Linked DNA regions of Arabidopsis thaliana. The main gene of each other region encodes a partner of the protein of the gene in region 4 in a complex. Each region holds a gene or a part of one and is shown on either strand. Other genes may lie near its edges. The genes, in order: EMB3137, rps8, rps15 and PSRP4.

What was found.
Region 1: PSRP4 (region 4) and EMB3137 share a complex: the UniProt entries of both Arabidopsis thaliana proteins name them as parts of the 30S ribosomal subunit.
Region 2: PSRP4 (region 4) and rps8 share a complex: the UniProt entries of both Arabidopsis thaliana proteins name them as parts of the 30S ribosomal subunit.
Region 3: PSRP4 (region 4) and rps15 share a complex: the UniProt entries of both Arabidopsis thaliana proteins name them as parts of the 30S ribosomal subunit.

Annotation. Positions count from the first base shown.
Region 1 is NC_003076.8:4,616,718-4,625,715, reverse strand, and holds EMB3137 (Ribosomal protein S13/S18 family), read left to right. Parts: upstream 1-6,734; 5' UTR 6,735-6,943; coding exon 6,944-7,060; intron 7,061-7,257; coding exon 7,258-7,482; coding exon of another isoform or gene 7,483-7,527; exon of another isoform or gene 7,528-7,709; coding exon 7,710-7,877; 3' UTR 7,878-8,293; downstream 8,294-8,998. Other genes in the region: MYB40 (myb domain protein 40), read right to left, coding at 937-1,465, 1,996-2,125, 2,217-2,385; AT5G14330 (uncharacterized protein), read left to right, coding at 5,165-5,277, 5,496-5,769; CXE16 (carboxyesterase 16), read right to left, coding at 8,294-8,834. UniProt on the Arabidopsis thaliana protein: Located at the top of the head of the 30S subunit, it contacts several helices of the 16S rRNA.
Region 2 is NC_000932.1:79,080-82,452, forward strand, and holds rps8 (ribosomal protein S8), read right to left. Parts: upstream 1,394-3,373; coding exon 989-1,393; downstream 1-988. Other genes in the region: rps11 (ribosomal protein S11), read right to left, coding at 1-297; rpl36 (ribosomal protein L36), read right to left, coding at 410-523; rpl14 (ribosomal protein L14), read right to left, coding at 1,617-1,985. UniProt on the Arabidopsis thaliana protein: One of the primary rRNA binding proteins, it binds directly to 16S rRNA central domain where it helps coordinate assembly of the platform of the 30S subunit.
Region 3 is NC_000932.1:121,721-127,167, forward strand, and holds rps15 (ribosomal protein S15), read right to left. Parts: upstream 1,843-5,447; coding exon 1,576-1,842; downstream 1-1,575. Other genes in the region: ndhA (NADH dehydrogenase subunit 1), read right to left, coding at 1-289; ndhH (NADH dehydrogenase subunit 7), read right to left, coding at 291-1,472.
Region 4 is NC_003071.7:15,974,153-15,982,112, forward strand, and holds PSRP4 (plastid-specific ribosomal protein 4), read left to right. Parts: upstream 1-6,695; 5' UTR 6,696-6,795; coding exon 6,796-6,952; intron 6,953-7,019; coding exon 7,020-7,084; intron 7,085-7,172; coding exon 7,173-7,307; 3' UTR 7,308-7,460; downstream 7,461-7,960. Other genes in the region: AUX1 (Transmembrane amino acid transporter family protein), read left to right, coding at 94-277, 556-653, 1,175-1,382, 1,469-1,726, 2,407-2,640; ATMAK3 (Acyl-CoA N-acyltransferases (NAT) superfamily protein), read right to left, coding at 4,487-4,702, 5,399-5,454, 5,594-5,714, 5,814-5,993; AT2G38150 (alpha 1,4-glycosyltransferase family protein), read right to left, coding at 7,548-7,960.

The DNA.
Region 1 (8,998 bases), on a different chromosome or scaffold from region 4:
ATAGAAGTTAATTCAATGATTGCAAAAATCCAAGCACTTGACGCAAGCAACATCGTCGTCATTGGCTTTTATCCCAACAACTATGATCACCATGATCTAAAACTGTTTAAAAAATGTTTAACCTTAATTTATTTTGGTCCGATCAAATCAAATCTTCTTAAAGAAGAAGAATAAGAGTTATTTGATATTTTAGTAGAAGTGATTACTTCATTGATTCTTTTACTACAAAGTAATAATAATAACCAAATGCATTCTCTCGAATGAAAGTAGGTACAATTGTTATTTTATTCTTTTTGTAAAAGTAGGTAGGTACCATTTATTTTGGAGAACACATATTTAATTCTGAAACGGGTCAATTTTCGTGAGTTTCATTTTTTTTTCTTATAAAGGTTTTGTTAATATCAAAAGTTTTGTTTATTCTATGTTTTTTTTCTAATCCACGAAAGGTCGCATTGACCTAATTCACCTAACTATAAAGAAGTAAAGAACACATTGATAACATATATAGTGAGCATATAATATAAATTAATACAAAACTTATTGTGTCGCACATGTGGGATATATGACTGGGTTTCCTATGTGCCCGTTTTTGTGTGAAGCGATATATAGTTTTTGTGTGAACACTTCCAATTTGACAATGAAACATTATTTGAACAACAACGATGATAGTGATCCTGACTTTGACAGATCAAACTAAAATTGACATTATACTTTTCAAAACAAACGATATATATAGTTTATTCAACTGAGTAAAATATTTTCATCATATATGTATTCCTTTTTAATTAGTCATTATATATATGCATACATATTGTACGGGCAAATTATGATACAACATCACACGCCATGCATAATCCACATTTTACATAAAAGAAACTGCTAATTACTTGCGATAATTATATAGATATATTATATTACAATGTTATAGTACATTCATCATAAGAGGAAAAGATTATCATCAAGATTGGCGAAGAGGTCCCATGGTACAAAAGGATCCGTCATATCCAAGTCCCATTGCTCTAAAGAGATCGAATCTTCTGCAAGATATGATGAAGATTCACTTCTTGAAATATTACTACATAGTGAAGAGAAAGACGAAGAGGATATCTCATTGCATTGCGTTTCAAATAGAGATTCCAAGTCTACTTCTTCTGCACATAGAATTTTGCAGTTTTTCGCCACAAGTTCCTCATCATTATCAGATAACATTAATGTTTTTGTTGTTTCTGTGATAACATCATCTTTTGGAGTTTGATCCTTGATCTCTTCTCCTTCATTGATGGTAGAACACATATTTGGTTTTTTATCTTGATTAGGATCGGTTTGATGAGTAATATCATTCATCGGTTTGTGCGTAGCCGGATCCAACCCAAGATGTTTCATCTTCTTCTTGATCTTCGTATTCCAGTGGTTTTTGATCTCGTTATCCGTTCGACCAGAGAAATGCGAGGCAATTTTAGACCACCTACAATGTCCAAAGCATCCATAAAACATGAAAAAGCAAAATTAAAGCGTATAGCATATAACATGATTATATCAATATATAACACTTTATATTACAAGTCTCATGAATTAAACCAAAAAAATATAATCTATGGCATGAAAGTTATATATACAAAAAGTAATATCGTATGTAGAAATCTCCACATAATTTGTTTTCGTAGCCGATTCTTCACTCAGAAATAACCCACTTCAATGCACAAGTACTATATACGTCAAACTTTTATTTTTAATTTTTAACCCACTTCCATGCACAAGTATATACGTCAATTATCTAAGTTTTGGTGTAAATATGGTTTGTAACCAATGTAAAATAAATAGTTCTCACAAGTCTTAGAAAGATATTTATATGACTTAAAAGGAAGATGACTCAAACATATTGGATCTAAATAAAGTATACGGTGTTACATTCGAGAGAGATTTCATATGAAAAAGCTAGTTTGACGCCGGCTAATGAAAATATATGGATAAGTTTTATTTTTCAGATTATCGTACCGGTTGCCAAGTTGAGAGTGAAGTTCCATAATCCGATCTTCTTCAGCATCAGTGAAACCACCTCTCTTGAGATCGGGTCTCAAATAATTGATCCATCTCAATCTACAGCTCTTCCCGCATCTCAACAAACCTTCATGTACACGTAAACGTTTAACTCCCCAAGAAAAAAAACGAATATAAAGGAAACCTAATAATGCATGCATGTATAAATAATGAAGTACCTGCGAGTTTGGGGACAATTCTCCAGCAGTGGATGCCATTGTTAAGAATGAAGTTCATGAGTCTATGATCTTCTTCTATAGTCCATGGACCTCTCTTCAATCCAATTTTGTCACAGCACGGTTTTCTCCCCATTGAAATTTTTCTAAGGCAAGCTAATAAATCACACATATAACTAATGCTGAATTAAAGCAAAACCGAGAGAGCTTGAGTTAGTCAAAAATATAAACAAGAGAGCGTTGGATCAAGTAATGGGCATTACTTATAAATAATAAGAGGTGAGTTGGGAAGGGCAAAGATTCTCTCCTTTGACAGGTCACTTACAGGCTAAAAGACAAATAAATCCAAATTTAAAGCAAAACACTAGTAATAAGTGAAGCAGTAAATAATGATTGCGGAGACAATTAAAGAAAGATTTGGTGAGAAGTGTGTGAGGTTGTATTACAATAATTATGGACAAACTTCTTTTGAGCTTATGATTCATTACCTATCAAAGTTTGCACTAAAGCCATACTTAATTTAATAGGTGTAGATAAATTAAATGCAATCAACTAAGTACATATATGCATATGATGATATGAACATTGCATAATTATCTTTTGTTGTTTCTATAAAGACAGACTAATTATTTTATCGTAGATAATGGTGGCAACATGACTTTCATGAGTTAAAAAACTGAACCATAATGATTAATTATTTGTTTGCTTTATTGCAAAATTGTTATTTTAAGCTTATGATTACCATATGATATATGATATTACTTTAATTGGTAATTGAAGGAATTTCATTGATTGATTAAAAGTTTGGTTAAAAGAAACGATTTGAGATTTGTTTGGATTCATCGGTCCCCTCTTCAAAGCCTTGTGCTTATTCTGTCATCAAGGCATCTTCTCTTTTTCATTATTCTATTTGTAAATAATTTGTTCTTGTTAAAAACATTTTGAGGAACTCGACTTTTTACGTCATAATTTGTTAGTTTGCACTACACCGTCATGATTAGGCAACTTGCTTAATAAAGAAAGTCAAGTTTGAATTCATCTAGTCATGCTATTATATTTAAGTATTTTCAGTTAAATAAACAAAAACTCATCTAGTCAGCTGAATGCCAAAAGAACTGAACTAGCATCGTCAATGGTATACTATTAACGACGATTAGTATGTACATAAGATTATTAATTTTGACATCATTATACAAGATTTATAAGATTTTAATTTCCTTGAAATGTCCAAAACATTATCTTCACGTATTCTTATCGTGATGATATTTAAAAGAGTTATGTACTTATCAAAGTTAGAAAATTTACATACATATTAATTATCAGACAAACCCCTTATTTATTATAAATGTAAGTGAAAAAATATATTTATAAGCAAAGTGATTGATATTAGATGTCATTGGAAAACTACACTTGTTGGAACCATTTTCCCTCCAAATATGTTTACTATTGTATTTTGTTCCAAATATGTTAACTGCTGTATATGTGTAAATACTTAATAGCAAGAATATCTATTTTATATAGATTTCAGGGTTTAATCATATCGATTTCTTAGTTTGTTTATTAAAGTATTTTGAAATAAGGTTCTCATATTGAACTAATTAAGTTGCTTAGAAGAAATGAAGGTTAGGAACAATTTGCATTAAAATACTCCAAATACGGAGTGGGGTTTCGCGTTAATGCATGGAGGAATATTCGCCATGTACTTGAAGGTATGTGCATATATCCAAATAGGGATCAAATATTAGAAATCTATCTAATTATAGATCAATTCTGAAAGACATTAGGCTATATGTCCTAGTCTATTATAATGTTTAATTACCAACCTAAATTTAGAAATCTGTTAGGAAAACAAATTATATAACCAAATTGCATTAGTTTTTCCTTAATTGAATATTTAACCCTTCATGCCACACTCTTAATTAACACCCAAAGAAAAAAAAACCCGCCATGACTCATATATAATGTAATGTGATAAACAGATAATGTAAACATTACAATTTCCATTAAAGTACTATAGAAACCTAGGTAACCGATCGATTATTACTTATTAGACGTTAAAAGAAATTAGATATTTGATTTATAGTCGACGTGTATGTATATATATATACATACATCTTTCTTTTCCGTATAGCTTACATTATAGGTAGTCAACAAACTTACTATACTTCAATATATTTAACTTTTGTGTGGTACATCAAGAAAATAAAATTGCAGCTAACCAAATATTCGTTTTTGTTTTGGTGCACTGAACTGAACTAAAATTTAGAAAAATGTAATATAGAAGAGTATTGTTGTATATGAGAGGGACCTCGACAAAATCACAAAAACAATAAATAATACGTGAGAGACCGTTGGGAAAAAGAGTATATACGGAGCCTACGATGTGTAAGAAAAATTATTAATGCAAGGGACCAGAATCATATTTAGGCCCACTAAAAAGCACTGTCTCTTTAGGTCCAACTTAATCTTCATATAGTCACTAATTGGGCCTAAAAATTGTAACTGTAGTTATGGATAGCGTTACGTAGAATATTCGTTTAGCATATCAGTTTCTCCTTTCCATTCGTTAACTAATTTTTTCTTTGCAAACATACTGTATCTACCGTTTTATCAAATAATTTTCTTTTTATTATTTGTTTGTTTACTAGAATTACAGTTTTTTCAAACAGATAAATAATCATATTAATAATAACATTTGCTAAATTTAGTTAAAAGAATCATGGTGTTACTTTTTAAGTTTTACTGGTTTGCTTTCAAGTTTCAAGAATGATTGTATAGTACTTTCGGATGTTTGATCTTTAAAACTTGTTGGTACAGTTGGAATGCTTTATTGGAAATATCAAACTATCACCAACGCTAACATTTCTATTCTTTTTGAACTTCATCAAGAGCCAAAGCCCCTGATCGGCCTCACAAAAGACACCATTTTCTTTGGTCTCCGGCAACAGAACATGGATTGGAATCAATCCCTAATCAAACCGGGTCAATTTGGCTTAGTCAAGAAACGTCCCTCTTATGTAACAGCTGTTCCAGAACGGCAGAACATTCACGAACATATAAATGGGTGTCCACTAACAAATTCAAACACATAACCATGATCACTCTGTCCTTTTTTCCATTTTTTTAAATATTCAAGTAAACAACATGTAAATTATAACGAATTTAGGTCGTCTCAACATCATGACTCATTCACATGCGTTGACTTTTAACCCACTAAACATTTTTTATAGGACCCCTCTCTCTCTCTATAAATTCGACCCCCTTTGTTGATAGATCATACAGAGAACAACAAAGAAAGAAACCAAATAAGAAGAAAAAGGAGAAGAACATTCAAATGGCACCAAGAAGTTCTTTGATCCGCTTCGCCTTCATCTGCATTGTCTTGGCCGTGATGGTCATGACTGCTGAGTCGCACAACGGAACCCACCACCATGGTCCGGCTATGGCTCCAATGCCACCCATGGCTAAGGCTCCGTCTCCAAGTGCCGCCACTTTCTCCGCCTACCCTCAGCTCATCGCCACCGCATTGGTCGCTGCTATGTCTTTCGTCTTCTGATGAGATGTGTTGCCATTCATCTTCAGAATATGTTTTACTCTCTATGAGATTTTATTTTAATTTTCACATGTATTCCTTCTTTTTTTGTTAATTCTTCAAAGATTGTGATGTTGTGTTCCTATCATAATAAAACATTTATCTCTTGATGTTTTTTTTATTATCTTAATCATATTTTCCTCTTTTTCGAACCAAATCTTCTAATCAAGGCATTATAATGGCCCGTTTGAGAAAAGGTGGACTTTCTTTTTAAAATCAACTAATTCATCTTAAGGTTATAGAATAGATAAATATCCGAAGTAAATATATAAAATAAATTGGGTCAGCCTAAACAAAATAATGAAATGCAGGCCTTACGTGACAGTAATGGGTACGCCTCAACAAATAATGGTGTATTCACTATTCAGACGTTGGTGTCAAAATCAATGAGTGATATCCTTATTAGAAGAACGACAAGCTTTAAACTAGTTTCATGTGTAAAGTACGAAACAATAAACATCATGAAAACACTCGAAATATTGTAGTAAACTTGCCAACAAAACCATGAGTACAAGTGTACAACTCCAATGAATCAGATATATATGCAAGATGGAAAAAATCCCCAAACACCTTAAAATACAACAACATGTGACAATAACGAAGTGAACGACCATCTCGATAAATAGTTAACAAGACTCATTCTCATCCGTTGACTTTTCATCTATACACTTACCATTTTTTTTATACAATCTTTTTCTATCATGACTCTATCCTCAATAGCTACGTGCCCACATGGAGCCAAGGCTCATGCCTTTCGTCTTCTGATCAAATGTGTGTCATTGATCACACCATTCATCTTAGTTGTTAAGAAAATATCTGTAAATCATTTTTTTTTTCATTTTATAGTTGTATCACTTTATTATAGTCCACTCGGTTTTTGCATTTTTGTTATAGTCCACTAGTTGGGCCGTGTTATACAATAGCGAGCCTATCTCAACAAAAAACAAAGCCCAACAAGTATTTATTTTGCCAGTTTTGTAAGCAATTAATTGAATAGAGTAAGTAGAGACGGAGCAAAAACAAGAGAAGCGTTTGGATTCGACGTTTGCCTTATCCGTTCAGCTCATCTTCTTCTTCTTCTTCGTCACCTCTGAATTAGTTTCCCAGAATCCGAAATTCCTAGGAAGAGAACATAACAATGGCGCAGATGGTTGCGATGCCCGTAGCGCACTCGCTCTCACTCATTTGCAATTGGGCAAAATCCAATCCTCTCTCTCGCAACACTCTTGCCCTCCCAGCTTCAAACACTCCCAATGTAATCATTTCTCTTGGACTCTCTCTTGCGTATGATGTTGTAATTTATCGAGCTTGACTTCATGTTTTTTTATGTGTTACTTCATTCTTGTTCGTCAATTTTTGGGTTAGGGGTGGTTATAGAACACTCCATCAATTTTTGGGGGAATTTGTCTCTGTGTTTTTAAAGTTTTTTTTTTTTTTTGTAATGAAATGCAGAAGCAGAGTCTAAGCATCAGATGTGCTCGTGTTGGTGGAGTGGAGATTCCGGCTAATAAGAGAATTGAGTACTCTCTTCAGTACATTCATGGGATTGGTCGAACTAGGGCTCGTCAGATTCTTGTTGATCTTCAGATGGAGAACAAGATTACTAAAGACATGGCTGAGGAAGAACTCATCATTCTTCGTGATGAAGTCTCCAAGTACATGATTGAGGGTGATCTGGTAATACACTTTCCCTTACATTTACACACTTTAGGACATGAGTAATGTGCATCATAGTTTCAGTTTCTGTCAGTCCATTCTCGAGCAGTTTCTTGAAGATTGGAGAAGAACTTAGGCTGCTATCTATTTGGTGTTTTCATTGCTTTAGTTTGGGTTTCCTCTTGTTTTGATTTGGTTCTTAGGCCTTTGTGAATGAATTATTGATTTGTGTTGTGGATGTTGTGCAGAGGAGGTTCAATGCTCTTGCAATCAAGAGGTTGAAGGAGATCCAGTGTTACCGTGGGGTAAGGCACATCCAAGGGCTGCCATGTCGGGGACAGAGAACCAAGAACAACTGCAGGACTCTTAAAGGCAAGAAAATTGCTATTGCAGGGAAGAAGAAAGTTTCCAAGTAATCATCTTCATGATCTCCTTCTTCTTCTGTAATACTCTTTTTAGTTTGTCTAGTCATCTCTGTTTAAATGTGATTTGTAATTCCCAAACCTTTGTTCGAACTGAGCCCTTTCCAGTTTATCTTCGGCTTTTTAGCTATTATTATTCCGTATCTTCATCATTCATTATAAAGTTACAAAAGAAGTTGAAGATTTCAGCATTCAAGAATGATGACAAACCAAGAACAAACTTGAAAATTTGGTCGAACCAAAAATGGTTTATTCAGAATACGTACATATGAATACATAAGTAACCAAAAAATAAAATTTTATAGCTTTTGCCAAAAGACTCGATCTTGGATTGTCTCTAATCCTACCCAGAAAATCTTGCTATCACACAAAAAAAAGGAAGAAAATGAATAATAACAGGGTAAAAATTTTCAGTAAGAGAACTCATGGCCGCGGAGTGAAATGTATTTCTTGACCCAAATGGCAATATCTTCGGCGCAGGCCTGTGCCTGAGGAGTCTTGAGAAGCATATCAAGTGTAGCAAACTCATGAACTGCGTCTTTGTATTCTAAAACTGGAGAATCTACGTTTACCTTTCTAAGCTCTTCTGAATAAGCAATGGCTCGGTCTCTCATCCAGTCATGCTCAGCTACTACTGTAAGTGTTGGAGGCATTAGCTTCAGAGGTGGTCCACTGCGGTTATGGGCAAGTGGGTTTGCTGCCGGGTGGTCAAAGTCGAACTCTTTCTCTGGTAAGAAGAGTTTCCAGGCTAGAACAGAGACAGGCTTATCGTAGAAGTAAGAGTTTGCCAGCTTTATTTCGGACTGTGTTGGGTTGTTTCCAATGAAAAAGGGGTACATTAGAACCTGTGCAACAACTTTCACCGGTTCTAGAAGTTTCCCAGCTTCCACTGCTTTCCGAGCTACATAGTCTGCTATGTTCCCACCACAGCTCACCCCGAGAAGAACACATCTGTTTTAACATCATATGAAGCAACAGGTTGAGACACAGAAGTTGATGTGAGATTGCAATCAATGGAAGATAAGCTATCTTAGTTCATCTAACTAGTTGTCCAAAGAATCCTGACTTTGTACCAAGTTACTCCTAGATCAACATGAAACTATTCTTAAGATCTT
Region 2 (3,373 bases), on a different chromosome or scaffold from region 4:
TCCAGGGCCTTTTATCCTTACTTCAGCTCGTTGCATACCTTGATCCACTACTGCTCGAATAGCATTTCCTGCTGCGGTTTGGGCAGCAAAGGGTGTTCCTCTTCTTGTACCCCGGAATCCACAAGTACCTGCGGAGGACCAAGAAATCACCCGACCCCGTACATCTGTAACGGTTACAATGGTATTGTTGAAACTTGCTTGAACATGAATAACTCCCTTTGGTATTCTACGTACATTTTTACGTGAACCACTACGTGTATTTTTACGCGAACCAATTCTTAATATAGGTTTTGCCATTTTTTTTCATTTCACAAGAAATATATGGATATATCCATTTCAGGTCAAAATAGACCCTTTTTTCCAACTCTTTGGAAGTGCCTTTTCTTTTACTTTAGTTCCTTTAGTAAGATTATCCTTGTCTTTGTTTATGCCTCGGGTTGGAACAAATTACTATAATTCGTCCCCTCCTGCGGATTAGTCGACACTTTTCACAAATTTTACGAACGGAAGCCCTTATTTTCATAGTTGTTATTCCTTAATTCTGTGAATATATTTATTGGTGGACGAAAAAAAGGTTTCTTGATATTTTTGAATCTTGAATTGTATCTTCGTGAAAGGAATGGTTGAAATTGAAAAAACACTTACTCATTTGAATACTTATTATGGAGTCTAGAAAATGGCTGTCCCCTTATTAACTTATACTTAAGAACTTACTCAAAATTTTACCTTTTTATCCTATAGGTATACCTATACAAAAATATGTCGAATCCTTTCAGAAGCATGAACGAAAAAAAATCTTTAGTATCTAAACAAAATCGAACCATGCCGTTCGGAAGTGATTAAGAAAGAAAACTTTTATTAATTCATTTTTTCTTTAATTTCATTCGAAGTAAAACATCCGAAACTTTTTTGAACAGGGGTGGTATTACACAACCCCCTTTTTTCACAAATTGTAAGTTACAGATATCTAATTTTTATATTAGAAGGATTACCATATATAACACAAAATTTCTCCGCCGATTCTTTTTAGTCGAGCTTCTCGGTCTGTCATTATACCTTGAGAAGTCGAAAGGATTACAATTCCTATTCCGCCTAAAATTCGTGGAATTCGTTGAGAGTTAGAATAGATTCGTAGACCCGGTCGACTTATTCTCTTTAAATTTAAAATCGTTTTGTAGGATTCTTTCTTATTTCGTCTATGTCTTAGGGTTAAAATCAAAAAATATTGGTTGTTTTCGCGATGTTTCCTTACGTTTTCGATAAAACCCTCTCGTAAAAGGATTTTAACAATACTTTCCGTGATGTTAGTCGATCCTATCCGAACCGTTCCTTTTCTATTCATGTCAGCATTTCGTATAGAGGTTATTATATCAGCAATGGTGTCTTTCCCCATGATAAGTTAAAATTCCTTATTGTTCTATAATTTTGATATAATCAACATGTTCTTTTTCTTTTATTTATATATAGATATAGACGAATTATATATTAATATATGAATTAAATTCTTAATATTTTATTATTAAGGGTATATGCGTGATACAGAATCTATTAATTAATTTTATTTCAATACCTGTTTTTTTAATCCGATACTAACTATCGCTATCGATATTTAGATCTTATAATACCTCAGGAGCTAATGAAACTATTTTAGTAAAGTTTAATTGTCTCAATTCCCGTGGGATCGCCCCAAAAACTCGAGTTCCTTTTGGATTTCCTTCTTGATCAATGACAACTGCGGCATTGTCATCATATCGTATTATCGTCCCATTGTTACGTTTGAGTTCTTTACAAGTACGTACAATTACAGCTCTAATCACTTCTGATCTTTCTAGAGGAGTATTTGGTATTGCTTCTTTGATTACAGCAACAATAACGTCACCAATATGAGCATATCGGCGATTACTAGCTCCTATTATTCGAATACACATCAATTCTCTAGCCCCGCTGTTGTCTGCTACATTCAAATAGGTTTGTGGTTGAATCATATCATTTTTTTTGTATCTCTTCTTTTAATGCAAAGGACGAAGTAAAAAAATATTGTTTGTCAAAAAAAGAAAACTTATAATCTTTTTACCCTTAAATGTTATTTAGTTTTTTCATTATATATTCCTATTCAGAAATAATGAATTGGGTTTTTATAGGCATTTTTGATGCCGCTATTGAAATAGCTTTTCTTGCTATATTTTCGGGTACACCACCCATTTCATAAAGGATTTTACCTGGTTTAACCACAGCTACCCAATACTCAGGGGATCCTTTCCCAGAACCCATACGCGTTTCCGCAGGTCTTACTGTAACTGGTTTGTCTGGAAATATACGTACCCAAATTTTTCCACCACGTCGTACATTTCGTGTCATTGCGCGTCGCCCTGCTTCTATTTGTCTAGATGTGATCCAAGCGGGTTCAAGTGTTTGAAGAGCATATCTGCCAAAACAAATACGATTCCCACGAGAAGATATTCCTTTTAGTCTTCCTCGATGTTGTTTACGAAATCTGGTTCTTTTTGGGTTATAGTTGATGGTTCTAAATTAGAAATTCCATCTCTACTACAGAACTGAACGTGAGAGTTTCTTCTCATCCAGCTCCTCGCGAATAAAAGGACTAAAAAAGCTTGTATTAAGATATAGTTAATGATTAATTCTATTAATCATGATATTCAATTTCATCTGATCTCTTCTAAATTTGTGTATGTCTTTTTCGAAATGGAATCCAAGATTAATTCTATTTATTTAAAAATAACGTAACGTAATATCATCATCTCGAATGTCGTTTTTGTTAGAATATTCTAACAAATCCTTATTTTCTTTTATCTTTTTAATTTTTGTTTTTTATTACTTTTATTAAAAAAAAAGTATTCGCCGGCGAATATTTACTCTTTCAATATCTATATTAAGTTTGTTGTTTATCCCAGGAGATCTCTGAATAAAAATAAGAATAGATAATAATCTGGTTTATTCCGCCATCCTGTCCAATGAATTACTAAGATTTATTTTTCAATAGAATCCTCTATATTCATGGGTTCCGTCGTTCCCATCGCTTCTTGATTAATCATTAGGCCCGAATTCTACAATGGAGCTCTTATATGAAATCGGGAATTTCATTTTTTTTATTTGTTTTTGAGTCAATTTTCTTAGTTTTTATTGGCTCAAGGCTCTTAATTTTTTTTGTTTTCGGAACAGATTTATCTAATTATTCTGAATGAATCTGTATTGATGCTTTATTACATTGCTTTTCTTACAGTGACCTCATAGACTTTCCAAATTGGAATAATATATCATTAATATTCAATTTTTTCTCTCTTTCTTTCATCCTTCCACTGAATCCGCATACTTTTCGATTACCTTTCATAACTTATAATTATAGTTCTTTATT
Region 3 (5,447 bases), on a different chromosome or scaffold from region 4:
AAGGAGTATTTCCTCTAGATGGACGAAGATTTTCTTTGAAAAGTAGTTTTGTCCCATCGGCTAGAGCTTGAAGAATTCCCAACGGGCCGGCGTATTCAGGTCCAATACGTTGTTGTATCCCTGCAGATATTTCTCTTTCTAACCACACAATTACTAGTACACCTGTTATGATTCCCAATACAAGAGAAAATATAGGGACAAATATCCATATGAGTCCATAGACCTCTTTTAAAGATTCCAATTTAACAAAAGAATTTATAGTTTGGACTGCTGTTGCATAAATTATCATTTTAACGATCAACTTCTCCCATAATTATATCTATGCTACCGAGTATCGTCATAATATCAGCCAATTTCATTCTTTTAACTAGTTCAGGAAGAATTTGCAAATTAATAAAACCCGGTGGTCGTATTTTCCATCTCCAAGGAAAACCGCTTTGATCTCCTATGAGAAAAATTCCCAACTCCCCTTTTGGAGCTTCAACTCTTACATAAAGTTCTTGTTTTGATAATTCAAAAGTAGGAGAAGGTTTTTTACTAATGAATCGATATTCAAAATCATTCCATTCTGGATTCCTTTTTCTATCAAAGCCCCTGCTTTCTAAATTCTCATAGGGACCCCCTGGAAGTCCTTCCAGAGCCTGTTGAATAATTTTTATGGATTCTGTCATTTCGCTAAGTCGTACTAAATAACGAGCTAATGAATCTCCTTGTTTTTGCCATTGAATTTCCCATTCAAATTCATCGTAAGACTCATAACGATCAATTTTACGAAGATCCCATGGTATTCCGGATGCGCGTAGCATTGGTCCGGATAAACCCCAATTTATTGCTTCTTCCCCACCAATAATCCCAACTCCTTCAACCCGTTCTAAAAAAATAGGATTTCGTGTAATGAGTTTTTGATATTCAACAACCTCTGTTAAAAAATAATCACAAAAATCCAAGCATTTATCTATCCAACCATAAGGTAAATCAGCCGCTATTCCTCCAATACGAAAAAAATTATGCATCATTCTCATACCGGTGGCAGCTTCGAATAGATCATATACAAATTCTCGTTCTCTGAAAATATAGAAAAAGGGAGTCTGTGCACCAATATCTGCCATAAAAGGGCCGAGCCATAACAGATGAGAAGCTATACGACTCAATTCCAGCATAATTACTCTGATATAGCTGGCCCTTTTAGGAACTTGAATATTTCCCAATTGTTCTGGTCCATTTACTGTTATTGCTTCTGTAAACATAGTAGCTAAATAATCCCATCGCGTTACATACGGTAAATATTGTATAATTGCTCGGTTTTCTGCAATTTTTTCCATTCCTCTGTGTAAATAACCTAATATGGGTTCACAGTCAACAACATCCTCACCATCTAGAGTAACAATTAAGCGAAGAACACCATGCATGGATGGGTGGTGAGGTCCCATATTGACTATCATAAGATCTTTTCCTGTAACTGGTCTCTTCATAAGTTTTTCCTTGATTCGTTCTGGCATGAATTAGATTTCTGAATAAAGAAGTTTATCAAAAAATTCAAGATCTAAAAAATTCACTAATTCACAATTTTTGAATTTAACGAGTTTTTAATTCCCGAATATTCAACTGATTAATTAATTCTTTATAACGTACTCTATTTTTTTTTGACAAATAAGCCAGCAGTCGTTGACGTTTTCCCAGAATTTTTCGTAGACCCCGCTGAGATAAATAATCTTTTCTGTGCAATTCCAAATGTGAAGTAAGTCTTCGTATCTTATTAGTGAAACTAAATACTTGAAATTCAACGGATCCCCTGCTTTCTTCTTTTTGTTCTTCAAATGAAATGACTATATTTTTTATCATAAAAAGAAATCCTTCCCCTTTTAATATGAATTGAAAGATATTAATTTTACTGATCAGTAATAATAATGGTAGTTTTTTTGTACAAGGATCTTAATTTAATTATCAACCTCTTAATTCTTCATTTTAGAAAAAAATCTAAATTTAGATCTCAAAAAGAAGGATTCTGTTAATTTATTTATGAATCCGCTATAATTGGTATCTATGTGATTGATTAAATTAATCTCATGTATAAAGATTTAATTTAAAACAATCCCTCATATTTGTGCATATAGTTGTTTTCATATACCGTAACTTATTATATATAGTAAAAAGTATTTATGATTAAGGAATTGGAAATCGCGTATACATGCGTATTCTTATCATACTGAAATGATTTCCGTTAGTAGTATTAAACCAATAGCGATTCATACAAGCTAAATCTTCTAATTTAAAATTGGGCCAAAGAAAGGATTTTAAATTAATTAAGTTATTTTTATCCTTATCAAGATCAAGATCTTTCTTTTTATGCAAAACGGTGGTCAAGTTTTGAATATTCTTATCAAATCTTGAATTTGTATCCCTAGCATTTTTTTTTTTTAAGTTGAAACAAATTAGAATTCGAAATTCTCTACGTCGTTTAGGGGATAGAATTTTTTCAGGGACAAAGAAATCATAATTATTTTTTTTTTTATTTACAGTTTTGTTTTGATATTTTGTAATGGATTTTTCAAAAAATTTTTTATTAATATAGCTTTTTTTTTTGTATCTTTTACTTATTTTGTGTTTATTTTTATGAACCAATGAAATACCTATGGTTCTATATATAATAAGTTGTCCATCGTTTTGTACAGACAAACGCACAGGTTCAATAATCAATATTCCTTTTTTCATTAATTTTGCAAAAGTGAAATTTTTCTCAATCATTAGAATGTCTAGGCTCATCTCTCCTCTTTCAATAGAAGATACCGCTATTTCGTTTGGATTGTTTAGTCTAACCAAGAGACAGTATACTTTTACATTATTGAGAATTTTTTGATTAAAAAAACAATTCCATCGCAATTGAAAACGCGAATATCTTGTCAGAAATAAATCAAGTTCCGCTTCTGTATTACTTTTGTATTGTTTTTTATTTTTACGTTTTTTTATTGTTGATTCTGCAAAATTTTCTTCAATATTTTTTTCTTGGTTTAATCGAGCTGCTTCGGGATTTCTTTTTGTTTCTTTATCTGATTCAAGTTCTACTTGACCGGCCGATTCTTTTTCTTCTTTATTCAGATTATAAAATCGAAGGGATTCTTTTTCATTTGATGGTATAAAACCTTTTTTCTTTCGAATGATCTTTTTATTAACATTTATGTTTTCATTAAAATTTAAAAGAAGTAATTTGATTGGTATGACCCATGGTTTCATTTTATATGTACTAGAAAATAAGAAAAATTCCGGAAAGAAAAAAAATTCAAAATTTGTTATACGCTGATTTAGTATTTCTTCATTCATTCCCATCCAATCAAAAAAGTTTCTTTTTTTATTAGCAAGATCCGTCTGCGTTATTTTATCAATTTTTTGATAATTCTGAACTTTAGTATTAATATATTTTTTTTTACTCTTAGTATCAACCCAAGGCTCAATAGTTACTTTTTTTGTAAACCAAAAGTTAAGAATTCTCCAATCCAAATATTTTCTATGCCGAATTTCCCCCATACCCCGAATATTATATTTTTCTAGAAAAGAAGAGACTAAACAATTATCTAGGGCAATGCCTATAGACATGTCAAAATTTTTTTCTGTAGAATGAATAGATTTATAGCAAAAAAGATTATATATAGAATCTTTTTTTACATTATGTTTTGGATTTAATAATGAGTCGGCCTCAAAAAATTTTTGTTTTTTATAATTATCAAATTTCTTTTTTTCATATGAATCCTCTTTGGTTAAACTTGGGTTTAGAACTAGAGAATCTTTATTTATTTTATTTTTCCAATTTTGGGTTACTAATCTAGCCCATGAAATCTGGGGTAAATTGTATTGATACTGACTTCGTAACCAGTTTTTCCATTGATTTACTTCGGAATTCAAAAAGGTTTTATTTTTCAATTCATAATGAAAGATTCCGTGTTCTTGAAAAAAAACCTTTATTTTATTCTTAACAAAAAAGGATGTTATGCATATGTTATATTCAAGAACAGCCTTTAATTTACAAAAGTTACTAACTTTAATTTGTGATAATTTGTAAAATACATATGCTTGTGATAAAGAGCATAGGTCATAACTCATTTTTTTTTTATTGGATATTAAATTTTTTATAGTCGAAATAAAATAAAGAGTATTTTTTTTTTTTTCTCCATTTTCTTCATTCTTGTAAATATATTTATCAAGAATTTTTTTTGTTGATTCAAAAAAAAGTTGTGTAGTAATTCTTGGAATATTAATGATACCTAGAAAAATAGCTATAGACATTTGTTCGATGCAAAATTTAAAAAAAAAAATGGATTTACGAATTAATCGGGTATTTTTTCTTTTGAATGTCTGCCAAATTTTTTTTGATGACTCAATTATTTTAGAATCATAACGCAGTTTGGTACAACTATTAGTTAAGTTTTGTTTTTCTTTTGAAATTTCTTCTATTTGATTTCTGATTGTCTTTTTTCTATCAATCAAATTTTTGATTTTTTTTTCGCTAAGTGAAGAATTTGTCCACTCCAAGGATTTATTTTGAACAGATAGTTCATGAATCATCTGATTACTTATTATTGAATCTTTTTTAGGTTCATTTAATTCATATATTTCTCTCGGGCCAAATAATGGAATTAGATTTCGTTTTGAAATTCCTTTTATAAAAATAAAGTTTTTGAGAATCCAGTTTTTAGTTTCTTTTGCGACTTTTAGGAAAATGGGTGCTCTTTCTTTGAAAATCTTTAAAACCACAAAAGACTTTTTTTTTAATTTTTTGATTCTTTTTTTTAATTCTTTAGAAATAGGTTCAAAAAAAGAAGGCTTTCTTTGGGCAGAACCAAACGGTAGTTCGGTTTCCATTCCCCAAACTGTTAAGAAACAAAAATCATTTTTTTCTCCTTTGTCTTTTGTTTTTTTTAGTCGAGCCTTCTGAGATGCTTGAAATTTAGATTTATGCCAAGGTTTAAGATAAAAAGGAAATAGGATTTTTATCTGAATACCATCCGTTAACCAGTTTCTTGGAAATTCTGTTTCGGATAGTTGAACCCCATTATAAGTACATTTAACATGCATTTCACGTTTCCAATCCTTTAAATCCTGGGACCACTCGGGAAATTGAAATAATAACATACGGACACTGTTTTTAATTATTATCAATAAAGGTAATATAATATATTTTCTAAGAATTGATTGAGTTACTAAGAGAGAACCTCTTATTATTTGAGCAAATAGGAAGCTATCCCAAGTTTCTGCAATTTCTATCCGTCTTGTTTCTTCTCTTTTTGATTGTTCTTCTTCTTTTTTATCAATTTTTTTTTTCCAAATGAAATTTTTAATAATTTTTTTTTTTAGCCCCCATATATCAAACGAAAAAAAAAAAAGTTTATCTATTCTATCAAAAAAAAGGGGGGAATGTACTTTTGCTTGAAAAAATTCCCAAATAACAGTTTTAC
Region 4 (7,960 bases):
TGTTATCTTTTAATCATTCTCTTTATCTTTTTAATCACTCTTTAATGATTAAGAATGGAGGATAATTGAAATATGATTGGTGTTTACTTGCAGTAACATTTATTACATAAACGATCATCTGGACAAGAGAACATGGACTTACATATTTGGCGCGTGTTGTGCAACCACTGTCTTTATACCGTCGTTTCACAATTACCGAATTTGGTCATTCCTTGGCCTTGGAATGACCACTTACACCGCTTGGTACTTAGCCATTGCCTCCATCATCCACGGCCAGGTAATGTTTTAATATATTTCACCAAAAATATATTTCATCACATTATAAAGATCACTACACTGTCGTTTTCATATTTATATGCTTTGCATTGAGGTGACAGTATATGCCTTAATTAAAAAGAAGAATAAAAAAAATTCGTATTTTCTCTTTAAGATCAGGGATTATTCTTTGCATCTTAACCCAAATTTGTATTAAAAAGTGTATGTATAATATAACTTAGACAAAATTAGCTGTTTAATATTCTCCTAATCAAATTTTTTTTTTGTTGTTTATTTTAGGCGGAAGGTGTGAAACATTCAGGTCCAACAAAGCTAGTGCTTTATTTTACGGGAGCCACAAATATTTTGTACACCTTTGGAGGTCACGCGGTTACTGTGTAAGTTACTCTTCTTTTGATTTCTTAATGATTATTAATTTTGTATCTAATAAAAGATCAATAAATTTTGTCAGACATAGTTGAATTACTATTTAAGTTAAAGCTAAATGGCAGAAAAAGTATATGGTAAATTAAAATGGTGCCATATTATTAAATTATGGGTGCTGCTGTATCGTTTCTTCGCCGCTTCTATTGCAGCTTTTGCCGGCAAATAAGGTGTAACTATTATTACAGTCATCATGATTGTCATTATTATTTTTAGCAATCCTTAAAATAGTAGTACTAATAAAATAAGCTCTTTTTAAATATAAAATAGAATAACCATTATTATTCCTATCCCTATAAAGAATAACAAACACTATTGCTACCAAAGCACTACTACTACTAGTAGGAATAGTACGCTTTTGCGAAATGTCAAATACACCCTTTTTATGCGTCAATGATTGTTGTGAATCCAATCTTTTACATAGTTAAAGTTTTGGATGAAATTATGAATATTAACAGTAATTTCTAATTTGCAGTGAGATTATGCATGCTATGTGGAAACCACAGAAGTTTAAGTACATTTACTTGATGGCGACGTTATACGTGTTCACGCTAACGATTCCGTCAGCTGCCGCCGTTTACTGGGCTTTCGGAGACGCACTTCTCGACCACTCCAACGCTTTCTCTCTTATGCCCAAGAACGCGTGGCGTGACGCCGCTGTTATCCTCATGCTCATTCATCAGGTATACACATACAACATTTTTGTTCTTTCTTTTTTAAGTAAATTTTGATCATGAGAGATTAATGCAACGTGTTCTTGTTCGTGCAGTTTATAACGTTCGGGTTCGCTTGTACACCTTTGTACTTTGTGTGGGAGAAAGTGATTGGGATGCATGACACAAAGAGCATTTGCTTAAGGGCTTTGGCTAGATTGCCTGTGGTCATACCTATTTGGTTCTTAGCTATTATCTTCCCCTTTTTCGGTCCAATCAATTCCGCTGTCGGTGCTCTTCTTGTTAGCTTCACCGTCTATATCATCCCATCTCTCGCTCACATGCTCACTTACCGATCTGCCTCCGCTCGTCAGGTATAACATCTTTACTAGCTCACTCTCTTTTAGCGTTTCAAAACTCGAACTTAACCTAAAATACATTGAGTTACCAATAATTTTTTAGAAATGAAATGAAGAGTCGGTGGAGGAATATTATAGTTGGGGGGTAGGGTTGTGAAATTGGAGGGCAAAAACGTCTTTTGTGGAAGATAGATGGGGTTCAGTGTTCCGTATCTTACGGAAGATAGGATCATCACCCACATTCCTTACTGGCGTCCCCTCCAAATAATATATTATTGAGTTGGTTTCAGCCATTTCTTTATTTGGTTACATTTAGAAGAAAAAATACAATATCCGGTTAGGTTAGTATTAGTAATTGACCATGACTTCTTTTTCTTTCTCTCTTTCAAAACAGTGTATATTAAATTTACGTAAGATAAAAGTAGAGGAAAATAGGGGAGAGGAATAGGTAAGAGTCATAATCAGAAATGAAAAGGAGCTGTACAATAGGGACTCTATGCCTAACATTAATCTAAAGTGAGAGTCTGAGTATGACAAATCACAATCATATCTCTCTCTCTCTCTCTCTATCTCATGGGTCAACAAAGCTTTGGATTTTGTCCATTACTATACGACCAAAACTCTAAAACACTTACACACTCTCTATTTCTTTAATGGTTCTCTGATTATTTTTGTGTTTTGGATCTTTCTTGTAGAATGCGGCGGAGAAGCCACCGTTCTTTATGCCGAGCTGGACGGCGATGTACGTGTTGAATGCTTTCGTGGTGGTTTGGGTTCTTATAGTCGGATTTGGGTTCGGTGGATGGGCTAGTGTAACCAACTTTGTTCGTCAAGTCGACACTTTTGGTCTCTTTGCCAAGTGTTACCAATGTAAACCAGCTGCAGCCGCCGCACATGCCCCGGTCTCCGCTTTACACCACCGTCTTTGAGAGATCGAGTCAGGGTTCTTCTAATGCGTTTGTGGAGGGTTCTTAAAATTATTTGTTCTTCTTTTGTGTTTTGTGTTCGTATACGTGAAGGGAGTAAAAGTCACGAAAATAGTGTACTTTTTACACACCCCTTTAAATGCGTGCTAAGCTCTTAATTATTTTTTTCTCTTTTGGGGTTTTGTATTTTTGTTTTCACTCCTTAGTTTTTTTTTTAAAATTGAATAGTCGATAATATGTAGTGTGTGATTTCTTAATTTGGTATTGTTAAAACAATAGGCTAAGAAAATGTATCGTCTTCTCTCCTTTTACTTGTCTTTAGTAACAAAAAACAATTCTTATCTTATACATTTATCCTAATTAGACTTATATAAACTATTTTACCATGAACAATATCTTCCGATACTAGATAATTCTTTAGGATCCTATTAGATCTTTTAATTATACAGTTTTGATCATAGCACAGCGACAATACTACTAAGTTTACATTAAAATTTTGAAATAACACTTTAATTTATTTGGAAAATTTGATTTAACGGCAGGGTGTGTTTAAAAATTAAATAGGGGAACATGGACAAGTTGGACCGACGGAGCCGGTCATATATCCTATGGGCCACATGGGTGTGGGGAGAGGACGCACGTGGATACTTCGTCCGAGTCACGTGCCATTATTTACTTGACACTCTTCATCTTCTCTCTGATCAAAAGAATGGATCAGAGGACCGTTCCTGTCCCTCATATTAAATATGGCATGTGTTCGTTCCATTCGTACTCAATCGTTTACCCCTTATCATATGCTCTGCTTTCACATGTACTTTGCCCCCAAAGATTATAACTATATATGTAAAATTATTAACTAATATTCTCGTTTGAATCCAGAGTCCGATTCTTGTACTTTCCATCTGACTTTTTTTTTGTTGGGGGTCAAAATAAAAAAGAACTTTGCAAAAATGTTTCTTCTAATAGCATAAAATCGTTAAAGAGAAAAGAAGAAGTGAATGTGAGTCATATTATGCGATATGGAGTAGGACCCTTGGTAACGTTTGGTTAGTGACCCTTGGTAACGAGTGGGTTCAAATTGTCAATAAACTATTATGTGGCGAGTGGTGAATCGTCTTTAATTTGTTCTGATTTAGGCCATGTGAGTTTTGCAACTACATTTGAGGCTTTTCTTCTTCTTTATATTAGACTTTTTTTTTTTTGTAAAGTGGACTATCTGGATACAAAAAAAATCTCGGCTAACATGGATAAATCTAAGATGGTTGTGTTTGTGAAAAGAAAATTGTTTTATAGTAAAATACGGTATGCAATAAAAGTATTTCATAAAATATCTCATACCAATTATTCAAGCATGTCTTTTCATAACATTTGACTGGCATCTTTCTCTCCTTTGGCCTTAAATCAATTTTTTGTCATCTTGGATTTCTTTTGAGGTATATAGAGCTGTTTGAAAATTTTGATGGCTGAAAATCACTTCACATCTCGATTTCTATATCATCCACTTAACTCGAAGTCAGGAGTAGCCTGAGACGATTAGGTTAAGTTAAGTGGTTATATGAATTTGTAACAACATTTAGATCTTTGTTTCCAATCATCAACCAAGTTTGAGAGACCTTAAAAACGTATATACGCACACCACAAAGTGATATGAATATGCTAAATTGTTTCTGTAGACACACAAGACCGTTGAAACGTCCAGATTAATCGCTTACTCCAGTCGAGAATACTTCATAAACATGGGACTAGAATTGTACCAACACATAATATTTCTTCATACGAAAGAGAACATAGTCTTAGCATGTTCAGGATTTAGAATACATTGAAGAAACACACATCTTCGTTCATGGCCTTAAGGTACACGAGGCCTAGGAAAGGTCTCATACTCTTGTTGGGTTTGAACTTGAGAAGGTATTTGAGGTACACGAGGCTTAGGGAACAAGAGCTTCAGGCGAAAAGCATCCATCCCATTCAAGTAATAGTGGTATAGCCGTTTGGCTCTTATAAACCCGAGTCGCCCATATAGTGCTAATGCTCCTTTGTTACTCACTTCTGCCTCCAGAGTTACCTTCAGCCATACATCTTTACATTAATTAGATTGCATAACCAGACAACCATACTCTCATGTTGTAATCAGGCTTGATTATGAGGAACTTGAAGAGCAAATGCCAATCACGAGGTTCTTTTTCCAATCTATTTACTACTGAGATTACAGTTAAGAGATCACACATACAACAGAAAATGATTCGTCGAATACGCAATTAGTAAGTGGGAGACAGGGATTTCTTATTTTATATTACTATCAGTTACATTCCAATGCGTGTGACTATAAAGAGTCATGGACTACATACAAGACTTATACAACATATGTATACTAAGTGAGAGACTGGGATTTTGATTTCCACTACAAAATTAGTAACTAAACGAATATCGAAAAGTTCCAACTCTTAGGAGTATGATTAACTACTTTTATACGTGGAACTAAACTTACACACACAGTTAGCTAAACAATCAAAAGCAATAGGTATACTTGCAATGATTAAAGGCAGCTACATCACCTCAGCTATGAAATTCTATTCTAGTAGATAAAAAGGAGGCACTATTTCAGGACATGTAATGGACTTATAACCTTCCGGAAAAGGTGGTTCATAAGGTCTTATCTACATTTATACTACCAGGAAAGGATATCACTCTAGTGCTACCAAATATCTAAGTTCTCCAAAGTGGGAATAAAGAGAGAAGTGAGAATGCAAGAACAGCATACCTCTTCACAGCCTGATTCCATCATCGCTTTTATCGCTCTTGTGACAAGCTCTGAGGCTGTAAAAAAACAATGACAAGTCAGCACACAAAATTATCGAACCTTAAGAGAGGCATGTATTTGCAGTAGATCAAACACTACTCCCACAGTCAAAATCTGATTCTGTAAGAAGTTAGGAAGCACTAGCTCAAGTATTACCTATGCCTCGGCCACGATATGGTTTAATCACAACCAACATAGCGATGTACCCTCTGAAAGTCTGTCGATGATCCCCCATCTTACAGACTATGGTTCCTACGCATTTACCTTTGTGAAAGGCCTATTAAAAGAAACAAAACAAATGCTACTCATAAATCCATCAAAACATAAGTATCATGAGGGTAAAGCAACGATAATCGAAAGCTGAGTGTCAAAATACCAGGAAGCATAGCTGCGGCCAGAGGTAGACGAAGTACCGGTAAGTAAAGATGGAGTAAGGTTCACTAAGTTCTTGGTCAACAAGAGACATAATCAATGGCAGATGATGCTCACCAGCATAACTCGTGTACTCAATCTCACCCTCATCGAATTCTTCTTTATCTTCCATCTCTTTCTCCATTGCAAGAAGTGATCAAGATCCCGAATTGTATACTTACAAAGAGAAATATGAACTTCTGATCAGTTGTTTATACATTGATGATCTTGTTCCTATAGGAAGTGATGAAACACATAATGCAAAGTTAGAGAATATAAATCATTTTCTGTGAATCGAAGTTGAGTGATTGTTTCAGAATTGAAAGTTCAATGTTTTCATAACAAACTCAGATTGCTCAAAGCCTCAAATAAACAGCTGAAGCAGAATCTATAACACTCTACTAAAGCAAACGACTTTGGCTAAAGCGAGCTATAGAAGATTTGAGAGTTCAGAAAAAAGAGAGCTTACCGATGTTATGTGACAATAGGATTAGTAAAGAATCCTGTGAAGCATAAGAATGAAAAAAACACACACAGATTTTAAATACCAAGTAATGAGAGATTTAGAAAGAGATGTGATTATAAAAATTGAAACTTTTTAGAAACCCAAGATCAATGAGATGATAAGAATACTTACCAAAAGTTTGAGCTTTGTGAAATTCGAAGATCAAAAGTTACGATCTGGGTGATATCTGAAGAAAAAAGCTCCGAAGAGAAGACGAAGAAGAACAAGAACAAGAACAAGAACAAGAACAAGGTCGATTACACACGTGACAAGCATGTGTAGGGTTTAGATATATTTGGGCTTTAAAATAAGCCCAATTGAAATTAAAGCCCAAATATGAAAAGATAATTAAAAGCCTATCCTAAAATCGTTTTTCTACTCTCACTGCCTTATCTTCTTCTGGATCTTCTTCTTCGAACAAATTCGAAAACAGCACACGGCGATGGCGTCGCTTATACTCGGAGCTCCTCCGCGAGTCACCGTCGCATTACCTTCCTCACGGTTATCATCTTCTCACTCTGAAACTGCCGGTGTCTCTCTCTCTTGCTTCACTCATCAATTCTCTCTCTCCACTTCCTCATCCAGCTCAATTCCACTCGGTAATCTCCCTCTCTTATCTAACTCTCTCTTAATTCGTCAATGGCGTAACTTTTCCGGTGTTCGCAGTGTACTGTGGCAGAGGTGACCGGAAAACAGCTAAAGGAAAGCGTTTCAATCACTCTTTTGGGAATGTAAGTAATCAAATTTCTCTTTCCGATTTCGTAATTTTACTTTGCAAATTCGCAATTTTGGTTTTGAATTTGGGGTTTATGTAAGCAGGCGAGGCCAAGAAACAAGAGCAAAGGAAGAGGACCGGAGAGAGTACCGGTTCCTCCAGCACCACCGAGGAAAGATAAGTTTGAGAACGACGAGAAGATCAAAATCGATATCGACGAGTCTCTCTTCTCTAATTAGAAATATGAGATTCTTCACTTGTTGTCTCTCACTGTAATTTTAATTTGTTTTTTGAAAAGCTTTGATGCTACGACTCTTTTGTTGTTAAAAACATCTCCAAAGTTCTCATCTTTTTATGAAAAGTTTGCTTCTTTATGAATCATTGAGTCTTTTACATTGAAAAAGTAAAGCAAACTAAGAACGAGAATCTATATACTTAGATAGATCAGATGGATGAATCATCTGTCTCTGTTTGGATCTTTAAATGTGAGAGTTTGTGATGTTTCCGCAGACTGTGCAGTGAGTGGAGACGAGAGTGTGCATTACACTTCCTTCTTCAATCTTAATCTTCCTTGTGACTTTGTTCCACAGATGTATCATGTAACTCCCTTTGTTCATGTCCTGTACTGTCTTCTCTACCCATTTTGCTTCTCTTGTGGTTGCAGGTTTCTTGAAAAGCTTTTGGATTTTGATCCAGTTTACTGGATAGAAAGCATCGGGAGAAAAGATTGTGAGATTGTTGTATCCAGGTTTGTTTCCTAATCTCTTGATAACTCTAGAGACTAGGTAAGGGCTGTTGTATCCCCATTTGTTTCCGTCGAAAGTTGTGGCATACTCTTGCAAGAATTCTCGCATTAGCGGATGGTAGATGTCAAAGACCATCACTGCGTTGT